Coturnix japonica: one gene and its partner. The protein of the gene in region 2 purifies or fractionates together with the protein of the main gene of each other region. This does not show direct contact. Links are inferred from orthologs where the notes say so. Each region holds a gene or a part of one and is shown on either strand. Other genes may lie near its edges.

Region 1 (10,509 bases), on a different chromosome or scaffold from region 2:
TTTTTTAAGGTTTTAAAAAAGCCAGAAAGTCATGGGCAGGTGCTGCATAAAGGGCTGCTTGCAATATGAGTCATCCCTCTTATCCTGCAGAATTTATAGGCAGACAGAAACAGCAGACTGGGCTTAAAGCACGAGCAACACACCACGCGTTTCTGATTAAGTCTGATATTACAGACTTAATAAGTATATCTGTTTGCTCCCTCATGTATGGAATTGTAAAATAACATCGATAAGAAGTGCTGCTGTTACCCAATAAGTTTTGCCCGACAAAACAAGGGCTGGCAGTAAGTGATGCAGAATAGACCGCTGCAGTCTAAAAAACATTTGAAATTGTTTACCTTTAGCTGGCCCAGAGGTGTGATGCCATACAAGAGACTAAGGTTCAGGATCAGACTAATGACTCTCACGTCCTGGGCCAGATGAGGCTGGACACATAGCTGAGGTGACACAGCAAGGAAGAGATGGCCAGCCCAACCCCTCACAGCATCACTTCCTGGTTAATCCATGGAGTGACAATGACACTGATCTGCCTCATCCTGCCATTTAATGGCAAGGCACTGCATTGGTGGCTCCTAGAAATGGACAGGAGTGATTGGGAATAAAAGGGGGGGAAGAAAGGGGGCTATGATGAAGAAACGAGTAAAACTCAGAATCTCTCACCATCTCATTGTCATACCTTACACTGTAATAGCATAACTACATGGGGAAGGTGAGAACTAAAACAAAAATAAAGTGGTTAATGAGAAGGAAATGTGTTGACCCTCTTCATTTATGATGTTATCCAAACATTACTTTTCCCCTAAAATCAAAACAAAAGCTAGTTCCCCACACGAACTACTGCAGGCAGGTATTTTAGAAACTATTTAGTCCCTCACAACCCTGTAGCAAGAAACAAAGCTCATCGATTTTGATAATACTGGACACCCTGGCACCCCTATCAGGAACACATTCATATTTTGTTACGCATTTAGAGCTTTTTATGTTTAAATAAAATGTTTATTACTCACCAAACAATGCCCTGTGCCCCCGATCCTATGGGCTTCAATTGCTGGTAACGTTTTAGTACAGTGAATGTTGAATCTGCAACTTGAACACTGTAAAACTGACTATCGCATTTACTGTCACTCATGGTGTAGTGTCATGTAGTTTTCTCTCTCAAGGACCTGGTACAGGCTTCAAGATCTTAAAGAAAAAAGAAAACAAATGTACAATTTGAGTAATTCCAGGCAGACAAGATGGAAGATAGATTATGCATATTTTAACACATATGAATTTTTTAATAGCATACTATTAGATAAGCATTATTTCAGCTTCACTTACAACTACTGCTAATGAAAAACCCCTGCAGATGAGACAACAAATAACCACACCTTTCCCAGCTGTAAGCAAACATCTCATTCCAAGCCCCAACACAAAAAGCAGCTAAGTAAACAATTGTGAAAGCAAACAACACCCTCAGGCAACAACTCTCTCCTCCTCGTAGGAGACTCCAGCACTCAGCCAACTTCCGTAACCCTGAGTTACTGCTATCACCACCGCACTCCTTCCTCCCGTCTTTAATACACATTGACATCCATGCCATCAGTTAGTGTACTTCAAGTCCTACAAGAATTAAGGGAGTTGGTACTACAGCTTGAAAGACCCAGCCACACTGTAACAGTTAGTTTTATCCCAAATGCATTACGATGATTGAGGACTGCTTTGTTTGAATGTTAACAATCCCCTTTAATGAAGGCAAAAACAAACAGCAGGCAAAAAGCAATTCCATTCAGGAAGTTACACTGCAGTTTGCCTCTCATCTGCCTTGCTCTCAAAGCTGCAACTGGACTTTCTGAGAGTCCAGAGGGCAGCAAGGAGCAAGGGGAAAGGACATCTCGTTAACTGGGTTACTTATGAGAAACAGACTAGAGGAGGAAGTGCACAAAAGACCAAAGAAAGGAGGAATGAAATAATGTATGAACACAATGGATGTGGTGATGAGCACAAAGATTCTGGTTAGACATTTTAGAAGATATGAAGGAAAGGGAAGAAGGAGAAACAAAGCCTGCTTTGCAAAGGTAGAAGAGGTGTGGTGCTCGACAAGATTCCCTAAGGAAGTTATGGGCTCTCCCTCTCTAGATGTTGGTGCTACACTAAAATCTGTCTGTAATTAATTAGATGTAGGTAATTACACCTGAGACTGAGGTAGTGGACACACATAATTTCACATGCAACATAATAGGTAATGCCATTACAGCCCAGACTAAACTACAAAGCCAAGAGTTCCCCGAAACAGGAAATGAAAGCAGATCACCTCCCCTATAAGCAGCTGGCCTAACCACCCAGCTGTGCTACATCACTTGTAGCTAAAGAGAGAGCAGTTATTCTCTCCCTCTTCACCAGTCTACAGAACAGTGGAGAGCCCATGCAAAGCAGAAGAGCCTCGACAGCAACTCAGAAGCACATCCTGGAAGGGCACAGGGCTACATGAGCAGCTTCTAGCAGCTTCAGGAATTAGAATATGGGCCTCTCTCAAGTAAATACTCAATCTGGTCATCTCTAGCTGCTATTAGACAGTAAGGAATGAACCCACTCTTCCTGTCTTTTATCATTCCAGAGCTATAGACACTGATGCACCACAGTTTTTGATTAACAACCCCCGATCAGCCCTGGTATTTTCTGTATATCTCCAAATGCTGGAACACAGACACAGCTGGAAAGACAAGACTAAGGAAAAGGCCAAGATTCTCTCTCTGAAAAGGGCTTAAAGAGGGGGAAAACAGTGCAGATGTGGATTACTCTGGAAATCAAATTAGGCCTGTTAGTTATGTGGGATCTATGCTGGTACTCCTTTATGGGTTAATGAAGATCATTGAAAGAAAGAAGCAGAGGGAAAAGGAAGTGATCCTGATCCAAAGAAACCTCACTGTAAGAAATCTCATCTGTACAAAGTCATCACTTGGAAAAACAGTTTAAAGACCAGGATAAGCTCTTTAGATAAGACCCAAAGAGGGATTTGTGAATCACAACACACAAGCTCTATGTATTCTGACATCCTCTGGAGCTCACTGTGCTGAGCACCAAGCCCCTCTCTGAGCCCTATGCTATGGGCTGCACGCTGCTTGGTTAGGACTCAGGTTACTTCAGATATACAAACTAATGCAAAACTAAATGCCACGAGACTGTAAGTATTGACATAATTTAAGTCTCAGTGTCTATTTGGGGGCTAAACCCACTGAATAAGGTTGCCCATCAACAGGGAAAAGTACATCTGACAAGTAAGTTTATTAAACCCCAACTGTTACACTGCTACCCGAGACCATCTGATTCATTGCTCCCCTTAGCAGGTACATAATGCATCCCACACATCTCCCATGCAGGAATCCTTTGAGAAGTTGGCATTACTTCCATGTAGGAAATGCACATTTTCATTCATGGCTTCCGAGCTGCAGCAGACAGGAGCAGTGCCAGACATGGGAGTCATTCATTCATGGGACAGTCAGCAAACATACTTCTGCATATTGATAAGGGCACTCAATTACGGTGCTTCAAGATAATTTTCCTATTTTTGAGCACGCATGAGAGGCAGATAAATTGGGTGCAGGTTTCTGTGTCTGTTTTAATAATGGGCTCATACAACCAGAAAAACTAAAAAGCACAAAGCTGATTTTACTCTATGCATAGAGATCACAAGCGCTTACAAAAGTGGTGTTCAGCCTCAGTTCATGCAGAGTAAAACAATCAAAAAGAGGAAAACAGACACACCAAACCTACCCCCAATGAATGTATCAGCTGTCATACAGAACTGCAGCAAGGAAGTATTTAGGGGTTGGAAGCAACCGCACTACAGTGTATGTACACACTGCACCAGTCACCTCTGCAAAAGGCACCTATTAAAATGGCAACTTATTATTAACCAGATCCATTCCCTGGATATTTTCCACGTCAAAAGCTTCTGAAGCAAACAGGTTGGAACAGCTAGGAACATTCCCTGCGCTGTTTTGGATACAGAAATGTTATCACGATGAACATCAAGAAACTGAACTTCAGGCTAAACTGCACTGGAGACAGAAAGAACCCACGGAGCACACACACACACACGGAGTATGAAAAGATAGGGAAACCACACTGAATATTCACCTTTACAAACGTACTCTGCAAATTAACCAATACTGGCTTTATCCGCTCAGTTCTCTGAGAAGCACCTCTGTCTTTAACCGGCCGAAGCTATTAGTGAGCAGATCACACCGACAGCCACCAGCCCCGCTGTCATTTAGCTGCTAAACAAACGCCGAAAGCAAATACTGGCTGCACCTCGGCCGGGAGACGGAGGGGAAAAGTTCAAACGTGTGTGTGCCGTGCAATTATTGCGCTGTGAAATCACGGAGCAGCCGTAGAGCCCAGCGAGCTCACGGGATTCCTTCACTCGTGCGGTTTCCGTCGCGGAGCAGCACAGCGCGGCCCCCGCCCCGCCAGCACCGAGCGCTGCCAGGGCCGGCACGGGGCGCTGAGGGCAGGGGCAGCGATGCGGCACGGGAAGGGCGAGGGGCACTGCACGGCCGACAAGAAGGAAGGGGCCCCCAGCTCGGCCCCTCCGCCTCCTTCCCCGCTCCGCAGGGCCGGGCCCGGGTCAGCGACACGCGGGGAAGCCCGGCCCAACCCCGGCTGCGCCTCGGCGGGCGGGGCCCGCGGGAAGAGCCAGGGAGTCCTCTCGGCACAGGGCCGGGGGGCTCGGCTCAGATCGGGGAGCTCCGGCTCCGGCCCCGCCGCCCGCACCGCCCTCCTCGCGGCCTCCCTCACCGTCTCTCTCCCGGTCAGGCTCCAGCGGGACGGGGCGCGGCGCTCGCGAGCCGCGCAGCCACCTCCGCCGCCGCCTGCAGCTCCTCCGGCGCGCAGGGCCGCCACAGCCACAATGGCCTCCCGGTGCTCCGCGCAGGCCGCGCCAGGCCTCAGCGCGCTGACGGACAGCAACTCTGACCAATCGCGAGCCCATACCGCGATGCTCAGCCAATGGCAGGCTGGAGGCGGGACAGAGCTGGCGCTATATAAGGCAGGGCAGCGGGGAAGGACCGCAGTGGGAGCGGGCAGGCTCAACCAATCCAGGCGCGGTCTCGGCCCTCCGGCGTGATGTCATCACCACACGTCAGCTTGTCACCGCGCTTCTGACGTCACCACAGGGCAGCGGTGGCACCAAAGTGGGACTGTAGGTGGGACTGTCTCTCCAGCACAGCAAAACAGGAGCATTTATTCAAATACACCCATAGTGCTCTTTACCAAACATACGTGCCACACGTGTGTTTTCTTATATGGTGATGTTCAGTTCTTGACATAACACAACAGCCCTCCTCCTTCTGGTGTCAGAGCATTGGTGCATACAAATGACTAAGGGGAAGGAAAAGAAAAGCCCCAAGACAAGAAGAATCTGTATAATATTTTCTTTAATTGCATATTAATTACATTGTACACACTTCAATCATAAGCACCTTTTGGAAGGTACCCTTATTTTGGCAGTTCCCTTATTTAATTGCCCTGTACAAAGCAGGCAATGAGATACAAAACGCTGCTGGGCCTTCTCATGGTGTTACAGCTGAAAGCAGGAGGAGGAGCTAAAACACAGCTGAGAATTGACAGCCACAGGAACTCTTTGCAAAAGGTGGTGAAATACAAACCAGGTGTAAACCATAGGAGAGGGGGGTAGGAAGATGGGAGGAAGAGAAGAACCTATTTCCAGTTTGAGGATGTAGTAGAAAAACCCCTATAAAACTGTACACAAACTTGCCATGAGCGCTGAGCATGTCAGCTCATTATTACCAATGCTATCGATAAGCAACATACTAAAAAAATAACTTAAGAAAAGCTATACAGTTGTACTTATAAATACTTTATCTTTAAAACTAGTTAAGTAGTGTAGGCTAAAAAAAAAACGTTCACAGTTACTCTGAAGAGAGCTGTATATATATATATATTGCACAGTAGAAAAGTTCATTCAGTATATCATGTGTAAACAATGATTTTTATCTTATCCTTTGGCAATTTTGGGACTTAGAAACATTTGCTGTGAGCAAAAGCACTTGGGTAACAAGGCACATTGGAAGCTTTTAAAGCTGCAAGGTAAATCCTTCTGACACCTGCCAGTTATCACTCTCATTCCCTTTGAAAAACGTGTACCTATTGATTCAGAACAACACATTTCCACAAGCATAACAGAGTCTGGTAACAAAAATATCCACTGTTCTTGGCTGTTATTCTACAGTAACCGATTTGGCCAGATTCCTTGGAAAATCCACCTAGAATGAAAAGACAGGCTTTCAGTGCGTGACAGAACACAACTGGCATTCTTGCTTTTGTGCTGTTTTGGTTTGGTGTTTTTTGCTTATTTAGAAAAGGATTGCTACTGAGTTCTGCTTTATTCTGGACTCGCTAATGCACACAAAAGAGTACGGATCTGTACATAACTCACTGTTGAATGCATCCTTACTTGCAAAAACCTCCCAACAAATCTGAATATATTGTTTTGCATAGGATGCCTTTCCAATGGGGTCATCATTACCAAACTGACACACCTAGACAGAGTCAACAAACTAAGCCATAAAAAGTAATAAACTGTCCTCTGTTAGAGTGCAATGTCACACTTCAATGCTTAGCTTCCGGAATAATATTATCTGCATTCTTCACAAATCAAACTAAGCAAACAATCTTTACATTTTTTAGAACCACCTTCCACACCAATTCAAGAAAAGGCTGAAGAATTGGCAGTGAAATGCCACCTCTACTACTACACTAAGTACCAGTCGCAGCAATTATTCTAGTTCTTTGTTAGAAATGCCGTATAACCTTATATCTGCCTTAACATTGGTAGGAGGAAGTGCAAAACTGCTCTAACTGGAATGCTATACATAGAAAGCACTTACATCATATCCTCTGAGAACAGCCAGGTGGAATGAAAGCAACTGGAGAGGAATAACACTCAAGATTCCTTGAAGGCAATCAACCGTATGAGGCAGCTCAATGGTTTTGTAGGCAAATTTTGAGCTTTCCGTGTCTTCCTTAGAACACAGGATGATTGGACGACCCTGAAAATAAAGTTCTATAGTTAAGAGCTGGCTTAGAGCTGCTCTTATATATTAGTTCACAGTCTATCTGTAGTGTATTTGAAAAATAACAAAGATAGCTAACCAGGATAATGTTAGACCTGCATAATGGTTTTTGCCATTCACAGAAAACATTCAAGTCTCAAGCAACAATCAGTACAGCTTTAACATTATTCTCTTTGATTCCAGACCACAAAACATCTACATATGACCACTTATCTCTACTGGTGTTAAACTGTGAGCTATGATGCTAAAATAGCACCTTAATCATAACTTTTTAAGTAGAAAGAAATGCCATTACCATCCTGCCTCTGAAACGTATTCAGCAAAAATCTAGTGTGCACAATTTCCTTCCCTACAACACTGCATTACTTTACAGCTTACCTGTCGAGCTGTGACCTGTTGCAGAGCATTCTGGCACTTGGTGAAGCAAGGATCCTTCATTATGACCATGATAACCGGCATTTGTTTATCTATTAGGGCTAGTGGACCATGTTTAAGCTCACCAGCTAAGATACCTTCAGAGTGCATATAGGTGATTTCTTTTATTTTCTAATGAAACAAATGCAAATATCAGAAAGTTAGAAGTAAATTAGACTAGAAATACAAGCTGCAAGCAGCAAAACATCCATCAATCAAATGCAGTTGCTATTTTCAAGGCTAGAACAGACACTCCTGTACACTGAGATCTCCAGCAGGCTGCCGGTAGAAATGGAGCTTACTCTTGCTCATGCACACACATTTGCAGAGAATTAAATGGACTAATCAAGAGGAGTTTTTAAGAGCTTAACATCTAGCACCACATTTTTAACTTCTATGAGAGATGGATACAGCTCCATTACATGAGGATATTTGTAATTAATTTAGCAGTTTCCTGCATGAACATCTTGCCTGAACGCCAGCATACTGAATGCAGTGTTTTAGGAGGACATTTTCAAACAGGCCAACATTTTAAGTCATATTAAGTTGTAGGGTTTTTTAATTTTCTAAATACACTCCTTAAGTGTATTTAAGAATGACACCAAATTCACCTTATGTATGTGTTCAGTGCAATAGGATTAAACATTCTAGTTATACATGGCAGCAGTTTTAGAACAGTAGAATTAAAATGTAAATAAATATGAGAAAAATTGCTGCAGAAACAAAAGCTCATTTCAATTAGTATCCAAACTTTGAGAGATTCCTACCAGAGCTCCTTCCAGACAAGTGGCATAATTATATCCACGACCCATAACCAGCAGTGACCTTTGTTTGTATAGTTCAAGAGCCAAGTCATGTATCTTCTCATCCAAGGACAAGACTTCTTTAATCATCTCTATTGGAGCACATAAAAAGCACATATAGAAATCTCCATCAACTGGAAAAAAATAGTATTTCCTAGCTTTTTGTAGTATGATACTCTAATGGCTTTTTATAACAAGCCATTAGCATAATTCAGGCATTAACTTTCTATCTGTACAATTTTGACAGTGCTTTAAACATGCTTCATCCAGCCTTACATAAAGTAACAAGTTTAAGATGACTATTAGTTTAAGCAGAGACTATGCATCCCATTTGAAATACTAAAGGAAGTTCCAAACATCTGTTTTAAAGTCAGTTTGGATTAGTTTTGTTTCATCTATACCGGTTTAAAGTGAAAGGCATTATAAATTTTAGATTACGTGTGTAGGAGATCAAGGAATAATTCTCAAACAAAGCTCTCCTACTGGAATTCTCATCTTCCTGCCAAGTTTTTTGGATGTCTATTTGTAAAACTGGCAAGTAGTGTAGAAGCTAATAGCCTATTCTTCTTACATTACCTACTTTTCAAGGAGAAAGAAAGAGTGAAACAAATATTTATAAGTTTTTTCTTGAGTAATATTTTATATTTCTATATTATCCATCAAACAAGATACCAAAGTAAGTATCAATATACCTGGCAATGATTTTAGTCCACTAATGATTTCCCTTCTTCTTTTCTGCAAAGAAATTCTGTCTTCAGACATCATGAGGCCAAACATCACAAGAGACACAAACTGGCTGGTATAAGCCTGCAGAAAAAACAGAGCATTTAGCATGAAGTGAATTAGTACGATCTCAATCTGAAGTGCTACAATTAAAACTATAATTGGATTACATAGTGGTAAAGTATGAAAATCAAACACCAAACAGCTGTTACCTTTGTGCTTGCCACACCTATCTCAGGTCCTGCATTGATATGCACACCACAGTCAGTCTCTCTGGATATTGAGCTTCCAACTGTGTTTGTGATGCCAACTGTTAGAGCACGGCGTTCTTTGCAATACCTCAAAGCCATAAGTGTATCTGCAGTTTCACCTGGAAAACATTCACAACTTGACTTAAAGTTCACATGGGATAGCAACATCTGAAAAATACTACAGAAGAAATTATTGTGTTCTGAATAACTGTATCCCTGCTCAAAACAAACATTTCAGCACTCACTTATTATCTACGTATTTGAATCATCCTCTTTTGCAACATTCAGAAAGTAATAACACTGTTTTTCATTTCTCTTTAGTTTGCACTCAGTAAAACAGCAGCAGCTCACCTGACTGACTTATAAAAAAGCAGACGTCATCTCTGAACACAGGTGTGTTCCTGTCCAAGAAGTCACTAGCAAGTTCTACCATCACGGGTAATTCAGTTAATTCTTCCAGTACTTGCCGAGTCTGTAATGAAGCAACACATGATATTTGTTAATATCACCACCCATAAATACTTGACATGGAAAGAGTGAGAAAGAATCTGAACTGATTCCTACTACAAAAATTGACAGTTCGATCTCACTGAGGTGAAAAAAAGTTACTTTTCTAGCATGGTAGACAACAGCGCTGGAGTTTTAATAAAGAATATGGCACAAAGGCAGATTAAGCAAATGCTGTAACCCCTCAACAAAAAGCAAAGTTTGTGGTACAAAAGGAAAAGCAGATGAAGATCTGTTGTACTAATCTTCCAACAACTAGGAGGTATAGATACATTACAGCTAAGGCTGAACGTACAGCTACTGCAGCATGATAACTGGTCCCACAGCCAATAATGATCAGTCTTCGGCATCTTCTGATTTCTTTTAAATGGTCCTTCAGGCCCCCCAGCAGAACTGTGATTAAACAAAAGAAAAAGTATGTATTGTATTTTCCAGTTAATATACTTAAAATCATACGTGCTCAGTGCAGCTTGAATGCCTGGTCTGAGTTACCTGTGCTGTTCTCAAAATTCACCCTGCCTCTCATAGTGTTGACAACTGATTCTGGTTGTTCAAAAATTTCCTTTTGCATGAACGCACTGAAGTTACCTGTTAAGAAAAACATTACAAGGTCATGCTTATCTATTCATATAGTTTGTTATTTGGAAATTGTTACAGTTACAAAGAGAATATGGGCACTCGTTTACATGTTTCAGCTCACCCTTCATGATTTGCTGCAATTCCATTTGCAAGGTT
Region 2 (9,779 bases):
CAGCTCCTTTGCTCTGCGCTGAGCAAACCCAGCAGCCTCAGCTCTCCTCACACACCTTGTCCTCCAGGCCCTTCTCCATCTTTCTAGGCCTCCCTTGGACAACTCTCCAACATATCTTTTTCTGATAATTCACAGCCCTATGGGATTTCTGCTTTTGTTGCATGTGAATTTTGGTTTAGTGGTTTTGTTATGGTTGGGTTTTTTTTTTTGTTTTGTTTTGTTTTCTTTAGGTGGCTTTGTGGTATTGTAATTGAGGATGAGTGGATCCAAAAATCCATCTGAATAGCTTTCAAAGCTATATAAAAGGTCCGTTTGTCTGTGGGGATCACGTGTTCTGTCTAAATGTGGATCCTGCATCTTTAATCTGTCATGTAAAACAGAATGCGTGCAGATAAGATGTGTCGGTTTTGCTTTCTGTAAAGATGGCTGTTCCTATGCAAAACCAATCACCTTGTTTCTACTGTACGTTTTGTGTATGCTTTGAATTATGCTCACCTTTTCACGATGGCAAATGACAGCTGCTGTTTGGCATAACTTCTGTGTCATTTGCCCCTTCTGGATTTGCTCTGAGCTCTGGTTCCTGCCCAGCTGCTCACCTGGCCTCCAGAGCTGAGAATCCGCCTGCAGCTGCTGCGCGGCAGGGGTTCGGGAGGCATCATGCGAAATGTTTGCTCAGGCCTTTTGCAACCACCTGCCCACAGACAAGTATGAATAGCTGGAATGTATACAGTGCTGATTTGAAGCTTCCTCAAAGTTTTGATGTCTCAGACAATCCCTAGCCTGTGGTCATTTACTAACTGTTCTGGCAGGACAGAGCGGTGGAATATTTCACGCAGCTCATGCAGTGATAACTGTGAACATCTCTGGCCCTTCACATCAGTGGTGAGCAGAAGCACTGCCCGCTGGTGCGTTCCACTAGATATTAGGACAGGCTGTCTGCTACAGAGGTCCTGCTTCCTTCATTCCTTTCCTTATAGAAAAAGCTCTGAATATCCAAGTGTGCTGGGCATCCTTGCATGGCTGTTGCTTTGTTTGGGTGTGGGTAGGTTCAGGCTCCCTGACAACCCGCTCAGCAGCTGTTTTGGAGCAGCGTGTGGGATGTTCTCTGTATCTGTGTGAGGGCTGTCAAGCTGGCTGCCTGGTTCAGGTTTTTTACCATGTTCTGGTTATTAAAGCTATGTGATATCTTCAAAGATGGAGAAGACTGGTTACATGCACAGCATTCTGTAATGGTGAATAGTGGTAGTTGGCCTGTCTTCTAGCACTTTGCTTAGTCAGCGTGTTGCGCCTGAGAATTTGAATGTCCTAGTGAAGGTGGGCACACAGCTGCATGTGAGCCCTATGGCTGGAGCTCAGCACTACCGTGCATGCTGCTGGTCCTTCCCAGTGGATGTATTGCCTGTCTGCTGTGGCTGCAGTGGTGAAGGCTTTCTGTATTGCAGTTAGCAGCTGAAGATCTGCTTTTAAAACTCAGTTTACTTGTGTACTGGTGAGAGGCCATATGTTTCTTTGGACTGCTTTTTGGGGATCCCTATGTGTTCTGGGTGTTGTCTGAACAATTATTTAAGCTGAATGGATTGCTTGCCTATAAAGAAGCAGAGTAAGTGTCAGAGTAGGGTTGGGTTGACTGGAATGCGGTTAGGGTTCAGCCTTTAGCCTAAGCTGTTGGTTTGGGTGAGATGTCAGATGGCATCATCATGGTGACCCTGGTCTTCTCTGTTGTTCTTGAGCAGCCTGTGAAGACTTTGCAGCCTCCATAGAGGCCAGGTGGTTTAGTTAGCTGGAGAGCTCAGAGTTCTGTCCTTGTCTTTTCTTCTGCCCTGTTCCCTGTTACAACAGCTTTGTGAACAGAGATCTTTAAGGCAGATCTGTTTGTGCTTTATCCTGCAAACTGCAGAAACAGCTGAAGATCAGCAGGACGCAGGACTGCCTGTATATTGCAAGCCTTCAGAGGAAGGTTTGGGATTTAAAATTCACTCCATCGTACATGTGAGGTCTAACTGTGCTTGTTTCCCTCTTGTTGGCCAATTGCTGGCATATAGATAGTGTGCATGGGTTGTAGCTGGGCATCTCCCTTCTCAAAGCTGGCTGTGGCCTGGTGAGGGGCACTAATGCTGTCAGGCTCCAAGATGGGCCCTAGGTGAGTGCTGGCACCGAGCGGTTGGAGCTGTGGTGCTCAAGAGTTGGATGTCTTTCTGTCTGAACCAAAGCCTGTGTGACAGCGTGGCTTTAAAGTCTTCCTTTCGCTAGATCATTGTGAAAAAGCACAGAAAAGGCAAATAACCTTTTAGAAGGAGGGGGGAAAAAATAGCAGTATGGTGACAGCAGCATTTGTTTTGGCTGGAGTAACTCTTTCTAGTAATTTACATGTAGTTTTCCCCTTCCTGGAATTTCTTGGCTTTCATTTAGCAAAGTGCAGTTGAGCCCAAACACTTGGCTGGTCTCGGCACAACGCGTGGCCCCACGTACCCTGCTCCAACAGAAACCCACATGTCTGTGGGCAGCAGGGGGGCATGGCTGCCCTTCTCCTCCTGCCCCTCTCTTCCCAGGCGTGGAGGCGAGCCACCTGTTAACATTACATCATTGGCTCCCAAGAACGCCTTCGTACCAAAGGCCTGAAACAAAGTGGTTCTTCTTGTATTGTTTGCGCTCAAAGAGCTGATGTCATGCCAGCTGATGTCATTGTGTGCTTTGTGTAATCGCTATGGAAACTGGGCAGGTGGGGAGCCCGGGGCTGATGTAATTGCCGAATGAGGTGTAGAAAGAAGCTCTGCTTTTCTTCCTAGCTCTGCAGCCACTCTCCTAGAGGGGGGGAGGTGGGAGGGGAGAAAAAAAAGGGGAAATTGCTGCTTGAAAAAGCCAGCAGTGTGACTTGCAGTAGATCCAAGGGGAGCACAAGCCAAGAAGTGACTTCTCCCTTCCCCCTCGGACCCATTTCCCACCCATATGAATGTCCTAAAAATAACCCTCTAGATATTTTCAGGCAGCTAGGGCAGAAAAAGGAGAGCTGTTTGCCCCATGTTAGGCAAGCACCTTGGTGGTTGGTACGTTTCAAGGTGCAGCATTGCTTTGTCCAACTGCACGGGAATGTGCTGTTGTCAGGAGTAAAGGCTGCAGCTGTCCCTTGTCCCAAGCACTGCAGGTGCCCTGTGGAGATCTCTAACCACAATATCTGCTTGGTCTCTCTCCCCAGGGGGACTCAGCGGTTTCAAGCAGAACCATGAAAACCTCTGCGATAACTCCCTCCAGCTGCAAGAGTGCCCGGAGGGGGGAGGTGGCGGTGCGTCCGCAGTGCCCCCCACACTACCTCAGTCCATCCCCACCACGCCGGACATCGAGAATGCCGAACTCACCCCCATCCTGCCTTTCCTCTTCCTCGGAAATGAGCATGATGCTCAGGACTTGGAGAAAATGCAGAGGATGAACATAGGCTATGTAATCAACGTGACCACCCACCTGCCCCTGTACCATTACGAAAAAGGCATGTTCAACTACAAGCGGCTCCCAGCCACTGACAGCAACAAGCAGAATCTCAGGCAGTATTTTGAAGAGGCTTTTGAGTTCATTGGTAATTATGCTTGACTGGAACTACTTTCTCCCCCCCCTCCCCTCACCTATTACAAGAATCTGGAATGAATTTTGTGCTTTGCTAACTACCCCAAAGGCTGTGTAAGGTCACATTTACTTTTGTTTAGATTGTCAGAAATACTGAGCACCTCGTGTTTCTGCTGATTCTCATTTCTGGCACATCTGACTAAGTAGCCCAGAGGTACAATTTTATCCATTGATAGCAGTGCCTACCTCTAACCCTCCAAATTTGGGTCTTTTCCACCCCTGCTTCTCCCAGCTGAGATTTTTGTCATTCCCTCTTTATGATTCCTTTGCATTTCCTAGTCTTCGCAGTGGCTTCTAGCCAAGTTTTTGTAGTTACTATTTTTAATGACAGCTGAGTCTTCCCTAACTCAGTTTTATGAGAGAACTGACAAACTTTCACACTCCACTTATTTTATCATTAGATTTGTAACTTCAGTGTATGTGTGGGCGAGTGGATCGCAGTGAAAACTATTATTAATAAGCTTCCAATTCCTGTAGGCTGTGAGACAGTTCACTGTGAAAATACAGCTCTATCTGAAACAGGGGAGGTAGCTCAGGAAATGATATTACCTGTGTCAGTCTAAACCTCGCTGTGATTCACACAGCATATACCTCATCCATTTTGATCATCGAGGCTCTGCATTCAGCTCTGGTCGTCTGTACTCAGCCCAGACAACCTTCTTAAGTGGAGCTGGTCATTGAGGATGTTAAGTAATACTGGAAGCTTGTGAGGACCTTTCCTTGCTCTTCTCAATGTATCTGTGGGCAGCTTCCTGCAGTGCACACGCACAGCTCAGCCTTTTGCAGCACTGTGGATGTCTGCTGGTGTTTATCCAGTAGCAGTTTGTGTGTTCAGATGTTTCCTGAAACATCCTGGTGTTGGGAAGGAACCATGGCCATGAATTATTATTTTTTTCCCTCTTGCTGAAGCTGGGCTAATCTTATTATCAATAGTTCAGGTTTGATAGTGGAAGCCAAGATGACAACAGCGTACCTATTTACCACATCACAGCTTAGGTCCTTAGCTAACCCCATGGACTTATTGAAGGGGACTCGGAGCTGTCTTCCTTGATTCCTGCTCTCAAAAATAGACTGTGTTTATGGCTCCTGGATGAGAGCATGGGTGCACAGCTCCTCTGGAACTTCAGCCTGCTTGTGCTGGCTCTGTGGGGTGCTCTTGGGCTCACTGAGGATCCAGCCCTGCTTGTGAAGCTGGGGCCTAAGGTCGGAAACCCAGGCTCAGCATATTCTGATCCCATCTGCCTTGGAGCTGGGTCTCACTGCTTGGAAGCAGGCAGCTCTTGGGTGCTGCTAGTGCTGTCTGTGTTCTGGTTAGCAGAGGATCATTGTGCTGACACATACAATCTGTAGTCACATTATTTCAGTGAAGGTGAGTAAGCAGAACACTGCTTATACCATAGTTTTGATGGCAGGCAGCATTAGAACTCAAATAGAACTCAATGTTAGAGCTCAACAACTCTTAAGTTAACTCTTAAGTTATAGACTGTATGTTTTGGGTTTTTTTTTAATTGGTTTGATGACCTTACTAAGGGCAGAGAAAGCAGCCTTGTTCTGAAAGCGTTTAGAAAGTATTTTGAAACCCATTTTGCTTTCCCCTTCGATAATTATAGCTTGAGGGGCTAGCTTTGTTTTTAATAAACAAATATTTCTCCACTGAGGTTTTTCTCCTTAGCAAATTCAGCCAGTCAAAGTTTTCCCTCCCTCAGGGTAAGCTTTTTTAATTTCATTTGAGACAATAGGGAAATATTTAAACAGTAGGTCATTGGCAGGTATCTATTTAAATAAATTAGAAAATGGACGAAAGTTTAGTTAAGATTAAGGGCATAGGAAGTGAAGCTCAAAAAGTGTGTTACGCTATGTTTGGAGTTTTGAGTTTCTTTAAATACTGGCTGATAGAAATATAGAATTCAGCTTCATTTAAGTTTTCATAGTGCAGGTGGGACTTGTGGAATAAGGTGCACTTTATTTTTGGTGGGTTTGGGTTCACACCAAAAGCAGTAAGCTAAATGCATGTTCTCCAGATTAATGGAAGAAAGCAATATACTGAAGGGTGATATCTCGAAAGCTTTATCTTTCATTTTCACATAAGCTGTGGGAAACAAAGATGGAATGGCAGTGACTTCCTCCTCTTTCCTGGCTTCTGTACTTCCAGGAGCTTTTTTTCTCTCTTGCATCTCTTTGTGCAGATGATGTGTTTTGGTGGAGAGCACTTGTACATCTGACTGCACATGTGTGTTGTCCTTTTCCTCCTTCCCCTCCTTGTTCTTTCCTTGCTGCTCCTAGGGAGATGTTGGGGAGAGGTAGCATTTGGCAGAATGAGGTGCTCCAAATGTTAAGGGGCAAAGATGACAGGAGCCTTTTCAGACAACAAAAGCTGATTAAAGTTGGGCTGTGAGGCAAAGATCTAGTTGAACCAGAGCTTGCTGTGCAGACTGGCCTAATGTTTCACATGAAGTAGCTTTGACTCCCTACAGGAGGGTAGACTAGGGAGGAAGAGGGAGGAAATGCTGCTGTGCTTCAAGCCAAATAGAGGAACTTTTAACATAAAGTTACTTCTGATTGCACTGAGCTTTGCTAATTTACTAAATAGCAGAGATCTTACTTTCTTCTGTTCTTGTTTTCAGAGGAAGCCCATCAGTGTGGAAAAGGTCTTCTCATTCACTGCCAGGCCGGAGTGTCCCGATCCGCCACCATAGTTATTGCATACTTGATGAAGCACACGCGCATGACCATGACGGATGCCTATAAATTTGTAAAAGGCAAACGACCAATCATTTCCCCTAACCTTAACTTTATGGGGCAGTTACTGGAGTTTGAGGAAGACCTAAACAATGGCGTCACACCCCGAATCCTCACACCAAAGCTGATCGGCGTAGAAACTGTTGTGTGATGGTGAAGCTGCAAAGAAGGGGTTCAATGAAGGGGGTTAGCCCGTTTTTCACCTGATTTAGGGCAGTCAGGGGTGGGCTGTGGGGTTTTTTTGTTTGTTTGTTTTTTTAGCTTTTGGGCGGGGAGGGGGTTGCAGCAAACGTTTTTGTGAACAAAAACCTTTTTTTGTAAGGAAAGGTTTTTAAAAGAGATCCAAGAACTTGGCCATGTTTGGGATGCGGTTGTGATTTCCTTCCTGGGCACTGATAGAGCAGAGAAGCTTTGGAGCGAGAGGAGTAATTTTTAAAATCCAAAAGCCAAGAAGAAATATTGGGCTTTTTTTTTTGTTGTTGTTTGTTTGTTTGTTGGCTGTTGTTTTTTTCCTCCTCTTCCTCTCCGGCTCCTCATAGAGTTTATGGCTAAGTAGTCTGTGCAGGTTCATAGACTGAAGAAACCTAAGCTGAAGACAAAACACAAACAGCCAAAACAAAGCAGAAAAAAAACTTGCTGAAGCATGAGGGCCTTCGTTCTGCAAAGGCATTGCTACAGATCACCTGGCAAATCACTCACTGACACAAAGGAGATCAGAGCAGCTTAAAAAGTCTGCAGGCACTTTTCACACTCCTGACTCAAACTAAAAAATGAAAAGAAAATGAGTTTATTCGGCGTGTTTCATGTTCCAGTTCTATTTTTCTATCTTGGGGTGTAAGGTTTTAACAGAAAGGGACTTGGATCATTCTATGCCATATGCCTTCACTGGCTTCTTGTGCAATAATAATTTGGGATTTATTTTAAGTGTTCAATCCAATTAGAGTTGGCTGCCCACTAATAATAAGATAATTTTTAAAGTCTAATAGTGCAATGGCAGCTGGCTTGGTTCAGAAGGGATAGGTGAAAGTAATTATTTTGTTCCTTTATATGATTTTGATCCTAGTTACAGTGCCATAAACCTTGTTACATATGTATATCAGAATGTACAAAAATCGAGAACGAGCAAAGTTTATTTAAAAATATTTTTCGCACAAAATCTTGGTGTGTTTCAGTTGTCTATGTAAAAGAAATTTGATTATAAAAGCAAAAAATCCTTTGGGAAATGTGTGTCCTTTTATTTCTTTAGCAGTTTTCCATTTGCTTTCTGTCGGATGGGCTTTTGGTTGTGCTTGATTCTTTTTTGGGGGGGGGAGGGATTTGTTTTTGTTTGCTTTTTCTTTTGCAGTGCACAATGCCCATTGACAAAGCTGGTATCTTTTGTTTGACATCTCTTCTTCAGTGTCCTTTTCCTGTCCTCTGCTGGTGGAACGTGTTTTCTGTATTCCTTTCTGTACTCTCACATCCCTTGCTTTCTGTAGCCATGTTTTTAATCTCCTGGAAATACACCATACTTGGAGCTGTTCAGATGAATTTGCATGACTGAGGTGGGCTTTTTGGGACAGACCTACAGCTCAACAGTTAGTTAAAGAAAATAACAAGAAATGAACGTTTTCCAATGATTCCTTTCCATCTTCCTGCAATTAGCTTTCCTTATGTGTTTCAGAACTAATTTCTATTGAGAGATGAGTATCCTTCTGGTTTTATTTTTGTCCCTGGCCTCTCCAAAGCCTGCTCTGTTAGCAGTTCCTGCTCCTTTAGCAGTTCCATGATCCCTGGTCCTTCTGGATCTTTTCCTTCCCTTTGCCCACTTTTCTTTCATCCTTTCCCAGTTGTGTTACTGTTAAGTGTGGTGTGTATTGCGAGGCTTCTACCCAGCAATGTACCTTAGGTGGCTGACTTCTTTTGCTTTCTTTGTTTGTATTTTTTTTTTTTAATTAAATTAATGGTATGGTATAAACTGATCTCTTCCAGACTGTTACCAACTTAAAATATGATTGAGTCTAAAATGAGCTTAAAAAAACCCATTTCTCGTATGATTCTCTTGTACAAGCTGATATATCCCAGGAAGCCTCATAGCCGTGAAGGTTTTTCCTAGGTGAAAACCAATGTGGACTGAACCAAGATTAAAACAGGACCTGTCAGAAAACTTATGTATAATCACATTAGACATGTATATTTTTGTGGACATTTTACTTCAAATGTTGTTACTATACCAATATTTTCTTGAAACGTATCCCTTTATTAAATTATTTTTCTACTGGAACTGATTTTTTTTCTTTCCTATGGTTGGTCCCTTCAGTGAGATGCCCTTGGTGGGGAGCATTACCCAGGCAACAAACCCTCCTGGGCTCCAGCTGCTGTGGGAAAGGACATCCCTCGCTAAAGATGGGCTCCTTTATTTGCCGTTGGGCTCAGCCTTTTTCAGCAGTTCTGCATGAACTGCCGATGGCTGCACATAGGTGAAGTTGTTAGCGGGCAGAGAGGAGGTTAGAAAGAGCAGTGGGGCTGGCTGAGATTGTAGCAGCCTATGTTACTGATGGTAGAATCTGCACAATAATGCTGGAGTTCTACAGAGCAAATGGAGTATGTAACCTAGGACATGGGAGTCCTAAGCCTAAGGGGAACAAAAGAGGACTAAATTCAAGACAAGTTTCCCCCTTTGTTACTGTTTGCTGGTGCCTTGATCCTACCCCTCCATTTCCTTTGGGGAGAAGGCAAATCTGACGTCCCTGTCCCACCTGCTTGGCAGATACAGCCTATGAGAGCTTCAGGATGGAGGCAATGTCTTGTATGGTCATAAGGTCTGCCAGTCAGCGGTTGTACAAAGGTTCAAAAGCACTCCCAGGAATTAACGGGGCTGAGGCAGGAGCTGTGAGGGGTATAGGAGGACACCCAGCAGGCTGAGAGCATGTGTTCCTCAAGGCCTGACTGGTCCCATCAGGCTTCTCATGAGGAAAGGGAGATTCAGTGGGGAGGACAGAAATAATCTCTTGGCAGAGTTAAGGCAGCAACCAAAGATAATGAGTGGCTGATGGCCGGCTCGTTAGCAGGTGTTTATTTTCCTGTGGCCTGTTTGCCCTCCTGTAGGTACACGGGTGTTGACCAATGTCAGGTTTACAATAGTGGGAGCAGAGCCTGACATCGGGAGCTGATGGGAGTGCTGTGGATTGCACTGAGCACACCTGAGCATTCTGCTGGCGGTGGAAGGAGGTGGCACAAGCTATGCTGTGGTCTCAGGAACCACAGACCACTGGTGCTGCCAGCCCCCCAGGTCCTCCTGCTGGTGAGGACAATGTTGATCAGCCTGCTCAGCTGAGCACTACACCTGCTGAGGAGCTGCCTTCCTCTTAACAGCCCCTGCATATCTTCAGGCACCCTGAAGGGCCCCTGGTTTGACTTGAGGATTGTCCAGGCAGCATCTCTCT

The links.
Region 1: the proteins of DUSP10 (region 2) and MAPK9 purify together in Homo sapiens (affinity purification with mass spectrometry; 3 studies listed by BioGRID and IntAct, with this or other methods). This does not show direct contact. The link is inferred for Coturnix japonica from reciprocal best matches to the Homo sapiens genes DUSP10 and MAPK9.

Annotation. Positions count from the first base shown.
Region 1 is NC_029528.1:4,155,860-4,166,368, forward strand, and holds the start of MAPK9 (mitogen-activated protein kinase 9), read right to left. Parts: upstream 4,894-10,509; 5' UTR 4,780-4,893; intron 4,545-4,779; exon of another isoform or gene 4,120-4,544; intron 1,183-4,119; 5' UTR 1,130-1,182; coding exon 1,008-1,129; intron 468-1,007; exon of another isoform or gene 339-467; intron 1-338. Other genes in the region: GFPT2 (glutamine--fructose-6-phosphate aminotransferase [isomerizing] 2), read right to left, coding at 6,222-6,266, 6,891-7,052, 7,455-7,622, 8,258-8,385, 8,986-9,100, 9,229-9,386, 9,619-9,739, 10,070-10,167 and 2 more. UniProt on the Homo sapiens protein: Serine/threonine-protein kinase involved in various processes such as cell proliferation, differentiation, migration, transformation and programmed cell death.
Region 2 is NC_029518.1:15,955,777-15,965,555, forward strand, and holds the end of DUSP10 (dual specificity protein phosphatase 10), read left to right. Parts: intron 1-3,193; coding exon 3,194-3,568; intron 3,569-6,239; coding exon 6,240-6,505; 3' UTR 6,506-8,617; downstream 8,618-9,779. UniProt on the Homo sapiens protein: Protein phosphatase involved in the inactivation of MAP kinases. Has a specificity for the MAPK11/MAPK12/MAPK13/MAPK14 subfamily. It preferably dephosphorylates p38.